4 linked regions of the Coturnix japonica genome follow. The protein of the gene in region 1 purifies or fractionates together with the protein of each later gene. This does not show direct contact. Links are inferred from orthologs where the notes say so. Each region holds a gene or a part of one and is shown on either strand. Other genes may lie near its edges. The genes, in order: LIG3, PARP1, APTX and TDP1.

What was found.
Region 2: the proteins of LIG3 (region 1) and PARP1 purify together in Homo sapiens (affinity purification with mass spectrometry; 3 studies listed by BioGRID and IntAct, with this or other methods). This does not show direct contact. The link is inferred for Coturnix japonica from reciprocal best matches to the Homo sapiens genes LIG3 and PARP1.
Region 3: the proteins of LIG3 (region 1) and APTX purify together in Homo sapiens (affinity purification with mass spectrometry; 3 studies listed by BioGRID and IntAct, with this or other methods). This does not show direct contact. The link is inferred for Coturnix japonica from reciprocal best matches to the Homo sapiens genes LIG3 and APTX.
Region 4: the proteins of LIG3 (region 1) and TDP1 purify together in Homo sapiens (affinity purification with mass spectrometry; 4 studies listed by BioGRID and IntAct, with this or other methods). This does not show direct contact. The link is inferred for Coturnix japonica from reciprocal best matches to the Homo sapiens genes LIG3 and TDP1.

What each region holds. Positions count from the first base shown.
Region 1 is NC_029534.1:3,391,691-3,395,346, forward strand, and holds the end of LIG3 (DNA ligase 3), read right to left. Parts: intron 2,809-3,656; coding exon 2,637-2,808; intron 1,949-2,636; coding exon 1,857-1,948; coding exon of another isoform or gene 1,822-1,856; intron 1,140-1,821; coding exon 906-1,139; 3' UTR 561-905; downstream 1-560. UniProt on the Homo sapiens protein: Isoform 3 functions as a heterodimer with DNA-repair protein XRCC1 in the nucleus and can correct defective DNA strand-break repair and sister chromatid exchange following treatment with ionizing radiation and alkylating agents.
Region 2 is NC_029518.1:14,815,007-14,819,063, reverse strand, and holds the start of PARP1 (poly [ADP-ribose] polymerase 1), read right to left. Parts: upstream 2,819-4,057; 5' UTR 2,736-2,818; coding exon 2,616-2,735; intron 1,923-2,615; coding exon 1,760-1,922; intron 1,441-1,759; coding exon 1,322-1,440; intron 285-1,321; coding exon 70-284; intron 1-69. UniProt on the Homo sapiens protein: Poly-ADP-ribosyltransferase that mediates poly-ADP-ribosylation of proteins and plays a key role in DNA repair.
Region 3 is NC_029547.1:62,425,047-62,429,158, forward strand, and holds the start of APTX (aprataxin), read right to left. Parts: upstream 2,801-4,112; 5' UTR 2,658-2,800; coding exon 2,528-2,657; intron 2,306-2,527; coding exon 2,259-2,305; intron 366-2,258; coding exon 30-365; intron 1-29. Other genes in the region: DNAJA1 (dnaJ homolog subfamily A member 1), read left to right, coding at 3,021-3,152, 3,235-3,412. UniProt on the Homo sapiens protein: DNA-binding protein involved in single-strand DNA break repair, double-strand DNA break repair and base excision repair.
Region 4 is NC_029520.1:39,634,498-39,638,556, reverse strand, and holds the start of TDP1 (tyrosyl-DNA phosphodiesterase 1), read right to left. Parts: upstream 2,862-4,059; 5' UTR 2,766-2,861; exon of another isoform or gene 2,759-2,765; intron 2,735-2,758; exon of another isoform or gene 2,713-2,734; intron 2,469-2,712; 5' UTR 2,465-2,468; coding exon 1,921-2,464; intron 1,362-1,920; coding exon 1,318-1,361; intron 609-1,317; coding exon 553-608; intron 1-552. Other genes in the region: EFCAB11 (EF-hand calcium-binding domain-containing protein 11), read left to right, coding at 2,874-2,960, 3,331-3,426. UniProt on the Homo sapiens protein: DNA repair enzyme that can remove a variety of covalent adducts from DNA through hydrolysis of a 3'-phosphodiester bond, giving rise to DNA with a free 3' phosphate.

The sequences.
Region 1 (3,656 bases):
TATATTTAAGCTGCAAATCAATGACAGAAATTTTATGAATGAGAAGAGGTACCCATCTGAGGTCTGAGATGTGCTTTCTGAAGGGAAAAGCACCTTCTGACTACACTGTTTTGCTTGTTAAATCAAAATCTGGAAGACTCGTTTAATAATCCAAAGGAATATAGTGATCTGAACTAATAAAGTAAATGGGAATATTTATGTGCTTTATGTATGCTGTACATAGTTTAAATATTTTAAAGTTAATATTCTACTTGAAATGGCATGTTATTCTCTATTAAATCCTCTCGGTACTATGATAGTTAAACTTACTAGTTTTGGTACGGAAGCTTGGTTTATAATTTTATAATAAAGTTGAAATGTGATTTAGTTAACCTTGTTTTCTGACTCTGTTACCAGCAGGAGAAAACCAGGAAAGGTTTGGGATATCAGGTGTTTAAATATTGCAAGGTGAGGTACAAGGACAGCCTTGTTAAAGGGGAAAAAAATAACCTTTTAGCAGTACTACCTTAACTTTGTGGAAAGTGGGACAAACAGCAAATAACCTTTGGAAAAGAAGCTCCTGACAGCAAAAGGAGAAACTGCTTCAGTTTATTTATTTATTTATAAAAAATACCCAAACTTTAAAAACCCACAGAGATGAAACCAGCACCTGGATAAGGGTGTTGGTCTACACTATGGGCAGAGAAACAGAGACAGCAGTGACATCCTTCAGAGAGCTATTTTAATTCATTCCATATAGCTGCTATGGATCATCCTAACTACCTCTGATGGACTTGAGCACGATATCTCTATCCACATCCCCACAGAGGAATCTCACCCTTTTCTTCCACCTACCTACTTCAACTGTTCCCCTTGGGGATTTCCTGAAGTGTAGCAGTGTAAAGAGCACTCAGCTGCCCTGCCTGCTAGCACAGGGCCACCAGTCTCCGTTTCCGGATGCATTCCCAGATCCATTTGGGAGACACCCGCTTAGCACCAGGATTCTCATCAATGTCCCCAATAATGTGTGTTGCTGAGGCTGCGTCGTACTCTGACACAAGATCACCATCGTATGCTATGAAGTAGCGCTGGATTTTCTTGTAGTCCTTTACAGTGGGTGACAAGTAGAGCTTCACACCAGTGAATATGTCCAGCAGCAGCTGTGCAGTGTGAAAGAAAAGCAAAGGTTGGTTAAAAAGTTACACTATGTGGAAAATAGCTTAAGATTATACTTGCATCTCACTGAAGAGTAACGCTCATACAGCTCCCTTAAAAGGCAGGTACTACAACAGAGCAGTGACCCCTGGATAAGGGAATTATTACTCCATCAGTAACCCTTGCATGTGCTGCCTACACATGCTGATCAGGTGAATGGGGTTTTAATGCCTTTGCCTTTACAAGCTGATGTTTCTTAGTTGAAGTGGGAGACTATAATTGCCCTGGGAGTGGACTTGCTGTTGTGGAGTAGCAAACAGCTACTCCAATCTTATCAGTAAATTATAGCTCAGCAATTCTTAATACACTCCTACACTTTGCTGCACAATGAGCTAGAAAGGACAATTCCTATACAGCTCTTTTCTATAAGCAGCCACTCAACAATCACAATGTGTTGCCTCTGAAGAGCAGGACGTTGTTGGTTGCTGGATAGAGAGCCTTGAGAATGACAAACAAAGTAATGTCAACTCTGCTGGTATGGGAAAAAAAACACTGCAGAAATCTGCTTTCTTTACAAGTCTCATTATCACTATCTCCACCCCTAGATCTCCTTTTAATTTGGGATGCTGCTGTGGAAGTTTTGAATGCTTCCTACATGGAAGGTAGTATTGAAATGTCTCCACTTACTCCCACCTGAGTGGTTGCTGCCCAACTGTCCGTACCTTCTTTCCATTGTCTTCTATCTCAGATGCTTTTCGCTTCTCTCCTCGTTTCTCCTCTGCCTTTTGAGGGGATTCAGCGACTGCTTTGGTGCCTAAAAACAAGGATGTATCTCACTGTTCCTGTCTACAGCCCAGCTGTATATTAAAAGGAGGCAAAGAAAAGCAAGGATATGGAAAGGTAAAAGGCTTTCCCAATCTGTTCTGGAAAATCTGTGCATTAGAACATAACTGGTAAGATGCTGCTTTCTACCACTAATGGTAGAATTCATCAGGGCATCTTCCTGCCCTTCTTTCTCTCCAGCTGACTCCATAGCTCAGCCTTCCTCCTTGCTGTCACCACACCATATTTCTGGGATTGCTCAGAAATCTGCTACAGGTTATTCTGCAGCACATGGCTTTGCAGTCTACTATCTGGAAATCCCCTCCAGGTGCCTTGCACTGTATGTATGAACTTAAGCCAAATAAAATTAAATGCTGGTTCATGGCCAAAAGTATCTAACTGAAGGGCATGTAGCTGCAGGAACAGGAGCAGCAGGTTTGCTGCTCAGACCAGTCTTACACAGTCTGTTAAGGACTGTGATTAAAGATAAAAAGGAACTGCAAGTCCCACAGAGATTACATCATGTTTAATTTTGGTGGTGTCTATAACTGAGACACCAACACAAGCCAAACCAAGGGTTGAAACCAGCTCTGCCCATTAACTAAAACATCTTTATAAAAGCAGCGCGTAGAAGGTGAAGAACACATCCTGAGGTTCCCCTCCATGGGGAGAGGCCTTACCTTCTGGTTTCATGGCTTTTGCAGGGGACTTAGGAGGAGTTTTAGTCATCTTGTGTGGTGTGGAAGACCTGGAATTTCCCTCATTCTCTCCACTGCTGCCAGCTGTGGACTCCTCCTCCTCCCCAGCAACAACACTGAAATCAGCCTTTTCTTTGCTGAGTTGGTACAGCTCCTGTCCGAGCAGAAACAAAACATTCCCTTTAGCCAAAGTGAAACCTCTCATAAGCGGACATAAGCAGTAATTCATGTGCTCCTCTCACTTTCTATCCCCACCCCATGAAGCATTTGCTCTTACGTTTTTTTCTTCCTGCACCTCTTTGTCACCATTTTTCTGTCAGCTATGTTCAAGCTCTCTGCTCTCTACCCAGCAGCTCAACATTAAGAGAAGCCACACATTAATATCATCTACCAGTAAGCAAGTCAGACTAACTCCTCAGAGCCTGGCTCTCTGGACTGAAAAATGGCCAACATCCAACATTCTGTCCGAGAGTATTTTACCTCTCTTCCCCCCTACCTGCACAGTGAGCCAGAAACATTCCTGCAGAGAGACTGAATCCTTTCTTCGATGGCATGACAAGCATTTACATCTGCTGTCAGTGTCCCTGTAGGCAGTGCGAAGACAGCCCAAATGACAATGACTAGACTGAGAACAGAGCACATGGGCAGCTGACTTACTGCTTGGGGTGGCACCAGGCCAACTGGTTTCTATCACTGAAGGAGGCATAGAAGCTGCATGGGGCAGTGCAGCCCTGGAGCAGGGCAGACTGCCATTTGGCCCCTGTGCTATGGAACCAGGCCAGGCTACCCTTAGTCACTTCCCAGATGCCTCCTGCAATCTCAGCAATTAATGAGAAACCGAATGACCATAAACATTTAAGAGAATTAAGGTCAGCTCCTTCAGGAAGGAAATTGCTCACCATGAAGGCAGTTACAAGAGCTGATAGAACTAACTGCCAGCTAAAACCTTCCCCAGAAGCACACAACAACAGCTCTCAAGACTCAAGGAGAAAGAGAACCATG
Region 2 (4,057 bases), on another chromosome or scaffold:
ATCACAAATGTATATGAGGGCAAGTAACTGTTCCTCGAAATCACACGATTTGCCGCATTCCCCACATACCCTTCAGTCTTAGTAGCCGGTAGTTGCTTCTTCAGAGTTTCTTTATCTTCAGCTTTCAAGATGCTGAAGCCCAGGAGCTGGGTGGCCCCATATGCAGGGAGGAAGCCCAGCTCTGCCCGGCGGCTCACGAAGCAGTCCGGGTGGTACCAGTTATCAATCATCCCCAGCTGTGGTTTTTCAGGATGCACCATCTTCTTGGAAATCCGAATCTGGCCCTGGGGCAGGTTAAAAAGACACAACAGCAATTGTTAGGCTGTCCTGGGAGAAGCAGGATGTTAGTAAGCTCGTTATCAACATGATGCTTCCTGCACACCTGCTAAACGCCAATAGCCCCTCCACCAAAGCCTGAAACAACTGTCCAAGCCTTTTCCTTACAGCTCCAATGCTTTCACTAATACCTTGTCCTAGGCTGGAAAAAGTGCCTGTTAAGTAACTTTCTGTTGAAAAAGAACACTTAAAACAGATAATTCTGTAGTCTTAACTTCAACTCCCTGCCAGTTAACTTGAATAAGCAAAGATAAGCAGAGATCACATCACCAAGCCCCATGGAGGGGATTCTGAAAGCTGACTTTATGTCCTTATCAGTCAATCTTTACTACAATCTCATCCTCTGGAAATTACTTTTCAGATACCCAAGGAAGTACTTGGCTTAAGTGCTTCTAGACTGCAATGCTTCCTACACCCCAGCCACTAACACTTCTGGAAACACAAGTGTACCAGCGCCGTCACACATCCCTCACCAACTGCACAGAACTGGCAGCTCTATTCTCACCTATCAGAGGCTCACGGCTTCACTTTGCTGATTGTCTTTAAAAGTAGGGCAACAAGACAGGCTGAAATATGGGGCAGCATCATTAATTAGACGTACTGCTGTTTTTGTCTGATTTATACACTGCACAGAAACAAAGGAGAAGAAGCAGCTAACATCTCTGCAGTGCATGAACAAGCAGAAGGCAGTTAGTGGTGGCTCTCTCTTTTATTCCAACCAAATCTACTGGCAAGCAGCATTTCAGTCTGCCGTAATGCTCATGCAAAAGGAAGCATCAGCAGATCAGAAGTCCGGGCTCCAGTGCCTGAGGCACATGTCTTTATGTCAGTATTCCAAGACGCAGCCGTTCCTCAGGCACAGAAAATCAGCTCTGCAACTGCCCTCCAAGTGCAGGACATACAGGATGCAGTAGCAGAAGCTTCTGTTTGAACTGGGATCAGTGGGAAAACAGGTGAGATGGAGAACTAAAGAAAAGCTTTTTACCTTTTCTATTTTCTGCTCGCAGCCTTTGCAAGTGCTCCTGTTAGACTTGGCATACTCTGCAGCAAAGTCAGTTAGGCTCTTGTCCGCTTTGCCACCTCCTTCCTGGTCCCCTCCTTTTCCTGCAGATCAAAGGTAAATACAGAGCTTTAAAAGGCACCCTCCCTCCTTGTTTGTTTCTCCCCATCTGTTACAGATTATTAGCAATCTGGATTAATAAACCTCTGTGTTCTGCTTCAAAACAGAACCCCTCTCAAAATTTAAGTCCTCTTTCAAAGTGACAGCTTCCATTTCCTATTTTTTTAAATTTTAAAATTATTAATACACTTCCTCAGGCTGACATCAACCTGCTGCAGGGACATGGCCATCAAGTAACTGTAACAACAGCCTGAGATGACAGAGCACGGTTCCAGCTTTGAACACCAGCAGAGCTCTGCTTACCTCCTCCAGGGCCTCCGGTTTCAATGGCCTTCTTGATTTTCTCCTGGTCCTCCCAGCGGAGCTCAGGGAAGCCATCAATATCCGCGTGGGACACGATCCGTGCCCGTTTCCAGAAGCAGCTGTAGTGATGCCAGTGAGGGACTTTGCCATCAAACATGGGCGACTAGGAAAAGCACACGAGGCTGAGGTGCAGCAGCTAAGATCCAAGCGAGCGGGGTGGGGGGTATTTGGGTAAACACCGGCCTTGCCCCATAAGGGCCACCATCGTGTCAGAGTCCCCACGATGGCAGGGGAACATCCCAGCCTGCAGCAGGGCGGCACCACAGCCCAACCCTGCAGCTCCGCAGCACCTCGCCCGCTGAGAGCTGTGCTGGGCTGACTTGGAGCCGCCAGGTCACAGCCTGGCAGCGCTGCGGCACCCAGCAAAGGGCACGGCCCGGCGGTTTGGCACCAAACAACGGCGGCGTTACTAACACCGCGTGCTGCGGGCACAGGCCCGCCCTGCGGTAACACAGCCGGCCGCTCCGTGCGCCCCGGGCCATACATAGATGGGCCAGGAGGAGCTGCCGGCTGGGTTGGATGCGGCCCTGCCCACAGCCGCTCAGCATCGTTCGTGCGGCGGAACGCGGCGCCGCATCCCGCAGACAAAAGGCGGATGAAACGTGGCCACGTGCAGCTCAGCTCGGCTCCATCGGCTCCACCGGTCGCCCCGCGGTACCGCCGCCCCCCGCCGCCCCCGGTTCGGATCCGAGCGCTCCGCAGCACCGTGAGGCCGAGCCCCGACCCGCCGCTCTGCGCCCGGGGGCGGCAACCGCGAGGCCCCCGGCACTGCAGCCGAGCCCCGGTGCGGCCGTACCTGCACCATGAGGGCCAGGCGCAGCGAGTCCTTGGCGATGCTGTCCCCGCACTTCTTGCAGGCCGCCCGCCCGCTCTTGGCGTACTCGGCGCGGTACGGCTTGTCCCCCGGCTCCGCCATCGCCACCACCACCGACACCACAACGCGGCCCCGCCGAACCGAGCCGCGACGCGCGCCCACCGCAGGCAGCAATAGCCGAGCGCCGAGCGCACTGCCCGCCCCGCAGCTTGGTCGCCATCCACCGCTCGGGCAGCGACTCGGCATGTCTGGCGGCGCATGGAACCTTCCGGTGCGGTGCGGGGTATCAATGGGCCGGGGCCTTGTGCGCTCATGTCCGCTCGGTGTGATACCGCCTTACAGCAGCAGGGGGCGCCAGCAGCACAGCACGAGTGGGGGCACTGCGGGCCGTGTTACCCTGCCCATATGGATATTTATATGGATATCTATATGGATATCTATATGGATATCTATATGGATATTTATATGGATACTTATCCTGTCCATATGGATATGTTGCTTATTGCACGGTGCTGCACACAGTCACTATGGCTGTATGACCTTGCTTGCATTGAGGCAGCTGTATAGGTGCAACAAGTGGCTATGGCTCAGCTGTGCCTTCCCTCTTTGTGCCAGCGATCAACCCCTTGACATCAGCCAGACCGCCCCAATGGGAATGGGACGCAAAGCCATACAGCCCACATTAAAGGTTTGGTGGCCCTGCCAGGCAATGGAACTACATGATCCTTGAGGTCTCTTCCAACCCGGGTCATTCTGTGATTCTGTGAGTGTCACAGCATCTCATAGTATCACAGTATAAATGAAAGGGATTATCCTACTCTCTGGGACAGAATGTATCTCCTACCATGGCTCCTGTGGGGTTTTGGTGCCTAGAGCTGCCTGGCACTGAGATGTGGTTAGCGGGCATGGAGCTGACACACTGATGGTTGGATGTGATGTACTTAATGCTATTCTCTAACCTTAATAGCTCTATGATTCCTCCTCAGCAGTCCTGAGCAGTTTTACATTACAATCCAGCACAGAACTCCCTGGGAAGCAGCTCTGATGGTTTCCCCCCTTTTTTAGAAAGCTTCTTTAAATAAGCTTCTGTTTTTTTAGCATTCCAGATGCATGGGAAAATGGATGTGGGAAGAGGCGAGGAATGAGCGGTTGGTAGAGGAGAAGCAGGATTTCAAACCGACTGAGAACTCCACCAAGCAGCCTCATCTCAGTAATTACATGGCAACATAATAGGGGTGTGGCTTGTACATCTAGGGAAGATCATAGTCTAAAGTTGATACCATAGAGCCCAGCACAGCCATGGTACTTGCCGCAGTTATTATCAGAATGTTTGCACTGACATTACCCACAGGTGGAAATACTGTGCTATCATCCTTGCTTTACAGTCCCCATGTGGCAACTGAGACACAAATGACTATTTGATG
Region 3 (4,112 bases), on another chromosome or scaffold:
AGCAGAAGTACTGATACAAATACACTTGCCTTTCCGCTCGTTGACTCTTCAAATAGAGGTGTGCTACTCTTGCTTGGCCTGAAGTCTGAAAAACTGCTTAGTGTATCCATCACCATCATCTTCTTTGCCTTTCTGGGAACATTTTCTGTATCATCCACACAGGACTCCTCAAATGGCCTCTTTTCAGTTTGTGTTTTCTCTTCTTCTTCCGTAACAGTTTCCTCTGATTCTTCACTAAATTCACTAAATTCCACCACAAAGGGGTAACGTCTGTTCACCATATGCAGAACTTGGCCTGGCCTCATTTTCACCTCTTCACCCTTGCCAACATCCACTAAGTCAACACTAGTTGTGTTGACTCCTATCTTTGGTAGAGAGAAAAATAATTTTAAAAGCTGATGTTGTAACTGAAATCACCAGCAGCGACTGGTCAGCTACCCCTGAGAACCACCATGCTGTAAAGCTTATGTGTTTGGTTTTTACTCCACCCCATCCCATTCTGGGAAGCTCAAGATTGGCAGCACCAGGCAATGACCAATCTCATGACTGCAGCCATTTGGACACAAACCAAAGCTTCAGCAACAATTATTTCTGAAAAAAATAACAGCAGTTTTAACAAGCTATTTCAATACAGCAATTCACAGAAAGCTCACTTCACATTATTTTCTGTCAATCCTCTTTTCTTTGTTACTACATTTTGCTATCTATCCAGCACCTATCGAATGCCACCCCATCAATACATCTACCTTCAAATACATAAGCCTGTACTTGCAGCTCATCTCAAGAGATGGTTGTTTAGGCTCACAGCAGCTAGCTCTCATTTAACCACAGCACACTGCTAACACTTGCAATGCACTCCCTCCTGTGTAATGAAAAGAGAAACGAGGAAACAAGTTTACTGGAGCTCCCAAAGGACACTGTTGCACAGGGCTCAGCTCCCAGCCCCCATTCTTGTTTCCCAGGCCAGATGTACCACTGCCCAGACCACAACTAACTGTTCAAACACAGCCAGTGAGAACATGTGTCTGTTCTTTGGAGTTACACTAAACCTCTCTGCCCACCTCAGCTCGTGCCAGGTATATACAGGCTGAAGTACATTTTTATGCTTTTAACCTTTTATAACCTTTTTTATATATAAAAGCATAAAACCTTATGCTTTTAACACAACTTGAAAATTGTTTTCTATTCAAAATAATGTTTTAAAGACTCAGAAGCTACTGAAGTTCAGCTGGTAATGGAAAAGCAATACCTGGTAACACAACATGGCATGGGCAACCTACATGGGCCAACTGAGCAGATTTTGTATGGCTATGCAGACTACCCTTGGAAACGAGTCCCTGCCTTCAGCTAAATGCTTCTGGTTCATGTTTATATACAAAACAAGTTTTGGAAACCAGTTCTTGCTTCTGACTGATAAACTCTTCTCATGTTTCTTTAACCCTGTCGGTCATAAACATGCTTGTTTCACAAGACATCACTATGCTTCTCATCACCTCATCTTCAATCTGATGGAGTGACTGCCCAATCCTAGCCAAAGCCTCCTCATCCTACAGTGCCAGTTTCAGTCAAACAAAGCACATGTCACATTGCAGGACAGCAATACAGCTGTGCGCTCCTGCATTGAGGTACAAATGGAAAACAGACCCTTTCTGAGGACTTTCTGACGAAGATGATCAGGGGGCTGGAGCATCTCCCCTATGAGGACAGGCTGAGGGAATTGGGTTTGTTCAGCCTAGAGAAGAGAAGGTTGCAGGGTGACCTCATTGCAGCCTTTCAGTACCTGAAGGGAACCCACACCCAGGAGGGGAGTAAACTCTTTGAAAGGGCTGACAATAGCAGGACACGGGGAAATGGTTATAAGTTAAAAGAGGGAAGATTTAGGTTGGATGTTAGGGGGAAGTTCTTCACTAGGAGAGTGGTTAGGCCCTGGAACAGGCTGCCCAGGGAGGTTTGTGGATGCCGCCGTCCTTGGAGGTGTTCAAGACCAGGTTGGACGGGGCCCTGGGCAACCTGATCTAGTAAAGGTGTATGTTTGGTGGCCCTGCCAGGCAGGGGGTTGGAACTACATGATCCTTGAGGTCCCTTCCAACCCGGGTCATTCTGTGATTCTGTGACCATCTGATGAACTCCTGATGGCCACAAAATAGCTCCAGGACTTCATAATCTAGGATGAGATCTGTAATTCGCAGTATTAGTGGACTTCAAGCATAACAGGCCAGTAAGCATTAGAAACACTAAGAAACCGCTTAAAAACATACCTGCTTAACAGTAACATATCCCTCGTTACAGTCTGCTTTCAACACAACTGAAAGAACAAAAAGTCATGAAAAGCCGTGAAAAGAAAGGCCTGAAATCCACCCACCCAGCCCTTGGGGAAAACACTCGTGCACCCTCAGCCTTGCGGCAGAGAGAAGAGCTCTGCCTCATCACCCACGTCCTAAGCAACAACACACAAGGATGAAGCTGACATGACAGCACTCCCCCCCCCCCTTATGCTCGCTGCAGCAGCCGGGAGGCGCGGCCTTACCTTGCCGCCGCGAGCACCTCCTGTCGGTGATGCCTGTGAGCGGCCCGCGGCCCAGCACCACGTCGGCCATGTGGGGCAGCAGCACCCGTAGGCCTCGCTCCTCCATGGCCAGCAGCCAGCAGTCCCTCATGGCCGCGCTGTGGAGCCGAGCACACACCGCGTTACCGGGCCGCGCCGCCCGCCATCGCGGGCCGCACCATGGCAACGCGGCCTACACCGCGCACGACCCCGCACAACCTCCGCCAAGGACGCATGCGCGCTCCCGTCTCGAGTCCTTCTGCCTGAGTGGGCGGGGCCTCGCTGAGGCTGAAGGCGCTGATTGGCTTAGCGCGCTCCGCCTCCTTCTCCTATTGGTTGTTCCTCTCTTGAAGCTGACTTCCGGGGCGGGGCGGCGCCGTCTCAAAAGCGCCGGATACGGCCCGGCTCCGAACTTTCCAGAAGAGTCGGGAGCGGAGCGGGGCTGTGTGGGCAGAGCGGGCAGTGAGGGCCCAACATGGTGAAGGAGACCAGGTACTACGATGTGCTGGGCGTCAGCCCCAACGCCTCGGCTGAGGAGCTGAAGAAGGCGTACCGCAAGCTGGCCCTGAAGTACCACCCCGATAAGAACCCCAATGAGGGAGAGAAGGTGGGTGAGGGGCGGCAGGGAATGAGGGCCGGGAGCGGCGGGACCGCGGGGTGTCTGAGGTGTGTGTGTGTCCATCCCGCAGTTCAAACAGATCTCACAGGCCTATGAGGTGCTGTCCGACCCCAAGAAGAGGGACCTGTACAACAAGGGCGGCGAGCAGGCCATCAAGGAGGGCGGATCGGGAGGCGGCTTCGGGTCCCCCATGGATATTTTCGACATGTTCTTCGGCGGCGGTGGGAGGATGCAGAGGGAGAGGAGAGGTATGAGCGGCTTCTGACCCCATCCCGGGCCCGCAGAGCAGTTCTGCTGTTCTTAGGATGTTCCCGTAGGCAGCCTGGGGGTGGAGGGCTGCTCAGGGAACGCGAGATGTAGCGCTGAAGGCCGTGGTTAATGAGCTGAGTGGGGGGTGCGGCTTAGTGAGCTTCCTTACCTTAAGGATCCGATCTGTGCAAGCGGCCGAAGTGCCGTCCCTTAACGCGCGAAGCAAACAAGGGGAGGGTAGTTGCATAGTGCAATGTTTGAAGCCGTGCTTTGTGTTGGTCTCTAACCGGGCTTTGTGCTTGGAAAGCTTTGGCTGAATGGTTGCCTAGCTTTTGTTACTGAGTAGGAAACGCAGGAGTAACAAGCCTTAAAGTAAGTGCTAAGTAAGGTGCCACGATATCAAAATGGAAGTTGATCTTACATTGTAAGTGGCCCCAGGTTGGACGGGGCCCTGGGCAACCTGATCTAGTAAATGTGTGTGTTTGGTGGCCCTGCCAGGCAGGGGGTTGGAACTACATGATCCTTGAGGTCCCTTCCAACCCGGGTCATTCTGTGATTCTGTGGCTTTATCTAAATAAGATAACCAAGTTACTTTGACTCTGAAGCCTTCTTGTGATATTTAGTTGAACTGGATTGAGTGCAGCTGCAGTAATGTTCTGCTCAAAAGTTAAAATCTAGAGGTAGCATAAGGGAAGGCTG
Region 4 (4,059 bases), on another chromosome or scaffold:
TACTTTAAAGAAAAGATGTGAAGAAGGCCAGGTCTACTCCAGCAGCAGTTCCATGTTTACTTTATAATAATTTGCTCTACTGAATTTTCAGTAAAATGCAAAATGAGAAGAAAATTCAGTGTCATCTGTGATAAACTGCCATTGTCAGAATGTCCTTTAAAGGAAATAAGAGCTGCTTCCACGACGGTATACAGCAACTCTAGCCATGACGTATCATTCCAGTTTCTTTCACACACTTCTTTCATGCTCATCCAACACAGAAATTCTTATTCTGTTTTCACATTTCATCTACTGCACTGCTGTCTTGGCCTGCGATTGGGTGTCTTAAACATTACCTAATAAAAATCAAAACCAGCCATACTGAATTGTCACCATTTAACATTGTCTCATAAGAGGCAAGAAATCAGTTGAGAAATATAGTGGAATAAGTGTGGAATATGCCTATGTGCACATAATTGAGAAGTACTGGTTTATCATTCAATTATAAGATGAATTTACATGAACAGAGTAACTTGGAAATTGTATTATTTCATTTTTGTAAAGCAAGCCTACCTGTACTCCTCAGGATACTGTCTCACGAGCCATGCCACATCTATACAGTAGTTAAACTTGTACATAAGAAGGAAAACAAGCTCATTAAAAAGAAGTAGCCGTCTGTCAGAATGATGGAGTACAGAAAAAAATGCTTTTTACATGAAGTTATTGTTCATTATCACTTACATTATACAGACGCACAATGATGCTCCTTTGCACAACAGCAGTACAAAACTGCAATCAGCATGTTTTAACAACAGGTTCATTTTTCAATTTCAAATGCTCTCTTCCTCATCTCTTCATTCAAGAATAAATTTAAGTTAATCAAAAGCATGAAGTAGTGTTCATAAAGTTTAGAATGCAGACAGAAATAATTACAGCCACATAATGTAAAAGCTGAAGTTCAGCGTGCCCTTTGCCATGTGGTTACACCAAGAAGAAAAGGAATTGCTTCATGCAGTAACAAAAATCTCACTCCTAGAATGCAAAACACCTTCTGTTTTATCATTCAGTTACATGAGGATGCATTTTTCAGTTGCACATTTCCAGAGCACAAGAGAGAAAGTAGTTCAACATTTGCTTGAACTCTAAGCAGAACACAGGATCACATTTATTTTTTATTAAAACAATGTACAGTTGAAAGCATTCAGCGTTCTCTTAGTATTTTAATGAAATTCCCTGCTGAAATCAGCTAGGTGGCAAAACATGGATTATCACTTACATGTTTAAGGATAGTAAGGGTAAATAAGCAAGCAATGGCAATCTGGCAAATAGGAAACTCACCTGAGCAGAAGACACAAGGGTCCCAAAAAGAGGAGACAAGATATCTATTAAAAACATTAATACACAATTGAGTATAAAAAGCTCAAGTGAACTTTTTGAGTCTTGAACAGCACAATTACTAGATGCTAGATTCAGATACTGAAGTCCCTCGTTCTGCTGTGAAACCCCCTGTTAATGATTGGTTTTGATTTAGGCTTGTGATGCGTGAGGTTTCCTGAATGTACGGATGTAGTTTTACATAAACTAAAACTAATTTCAGTCATGGCATTATCAAACCATCAGTGTCACACGCTATTCCACCTCTTACTTATGCTCACTTCAGTTGCCCTGATGTGTGACTGAGAACATAAGCTGCAGAAATTCACAGGCAGTATTGTGTACTGTGTCAAGGTAACAGTGATTTACTAGGTCTTAACTACTTGACACCATAAAGACAAGAACAAACAGGACCAGTTCCTACAATATTCACACTCAAACTACGAAGCTTAATTTAAACCAAGGAATCTTTGCATTTTAAAAAACCCATAAACTAACATTAAGTGTCCTCTTGCACGCAAGACTCTCCCACCCCAAAGCCCGCTCCTGTGAGATCCTCTTGCTCACCTTTTATGTGCAGGGCTCCACAATTGTAGCTCTGCTCAATTCCCCTGACTTTAGTGAGAAAAAACCCAAAGGGGTTCCCTCCACTCAGCAAATCCCAGGTATCTTGGGGTTCACGTGACGCTTCATTATAGTCCTCTGCTTTCTCAATCTTTGAACGTTCATCTTTGCAATGACTCTGTAGTTGCTCTCCGGGTGCATCACACTTTTCTTCTTTCAGTGTTTCCTTGCAGACTCGCTTCCCCCGGTCTTCAGGCTCTTCATCGCTACTAGAAAGGCACCAACCCAAGCCCTCCTGGCCGGGCCTCTGCTTTTCAGCAGGAGGTGTTTGTGCATTGAGGTGCGTGTCAGTGAACTTTATTGGAGAAGCCTTCCTCTTGTGAGCAGCCCTCCTCGCCTCAGAGCAGGGGTACTGCGGCCCGCTGGCTTCACTGTGCAGGGCACTCGGTAGCGAGGACGTCGAGGGCTTTTCACTGTCAGAATTGTCTTCAGCGCTGTCCTCACTGCTGGACACAGTCCACCGCCCGTGGGCACCTTCCTGAAGCATGTTACTATAAATGAAGAAGAGACTAGAAGTCATGCACTTTGCTCTGCTCCGGGCTGCTTCCCTTCCCACTCTCCGCTTGCGTGTTATAATAACCTCCACCCCCCAGATCTGACACGATCCTCATATGCAAAACAATAATGAGCTGCTCCCAAGAAACAAAGAAACAGAAACGGCTATCGAGGAGGAAGCGGCTGCAGTGGCTCCAACTGCCGCTCCCACCCTTCACGGCAGCAGCATGATGGCGTTACCATTACCAGCCCCAGCCCGGCACACACCACCACCCCACAAACACACCGCTCACCACAGCGCCTCTTCGCGCCAATCTGCGCCCGCCCCTTCCCGTTCCGGGAGGACGGCGGCTTCCCCAAGCGCTCGGGCTGCCGGCCGAGTTCAGGAGGTGGGGAAGGCGATGGTGCCTCTTTCGCTCCGCCCCACACAGCGGCGCCGTTGCCGGGCAGCCGCCGCCGTGGGTTCGCTACGGGAGCGCTGTGCCACGGTGCGAGACGGGGCTGCTGCGGGAGGGGACGAGGGGCCTTGGGAATAGTGTAGTTTGGTTCTAGAAATCTGTGCCGTGTCTTCTAAGTTTGTTTTGGGAAAGAAAGCCTTTTAGAAGAAGGGGAAAAAATATTTTAAATAATAATAAATAAATAAAAAAAACACCTCAAAATGGACCATTCTTAGTCCCTCAGTTACCTTAATGGTAGTTGAAAATAGTTGTTACAGAGGTGGGACTGAGCTTCATTATACGTATCTTTTAATCGTTTAGTTCACTAAGCAAGTGCTTATTTTTCCCATAACAGTTATTTTAAGTAAAAAATAGTGTGTCAGATTTGTTGTTTTTAATGCAGCTCGCTTTGTTTCTGCAGGTTTTTGAAGTGTGTGATGAAGGTAACAAAGGCTATCTGGACAGAGAGGACTTTGAAGTTGCTGTAGTGATGTTGTTTGGTTATAAGCTGTCAGAGGTATGTATCTGAATGAAATCAAACCTTTCTTACTAAGATGTTATTCTGTAGAATGAGCAGAAGCACACACTGTATTTCATATCTATGTGCCATATGAAACAAGTGATATACTGGGCTTGTTATTGGTCAAGATTCAAAGTCAAACTTGCTTTTTATTAGCGGTACGCTCCATTTCTTTACATAGTGGGTTCATGAGATGTAAAGCAGTTGTACATACTACTAATAAACATGTATTCTCAAAAACACCTAGTTTTGGGTTCTAATGAATGTCTTTTTTAGCCTTGGCTTCTGTAATATAAATCTATAGCTGTATGAAATTCTCAAGGTGATCATAGATAACTTTTTGTATATGATCAAATAACATAAAAATAATAGAAATATGATTTATATGATATTAAATTCCTTAGTAGGAATTCTGCAAGCATGATTAAGGCATTCAATCAAGAGCAGCTTCTGTGCATAAATCACTCTTGATTCCTTTTTGTGAAGAAAATAGAAGTGGAGAACTCCCAGGAAGAAGGGAGATGTAGGTTTAGTACTTTCTACCTGGAAAAGTGCCATGTCACACCTGTTGTGTCTCTAGACAGTGCTGTGACCACCTGGCTGTGGGCTGTTCTGTCTGTGCAGCTGCAC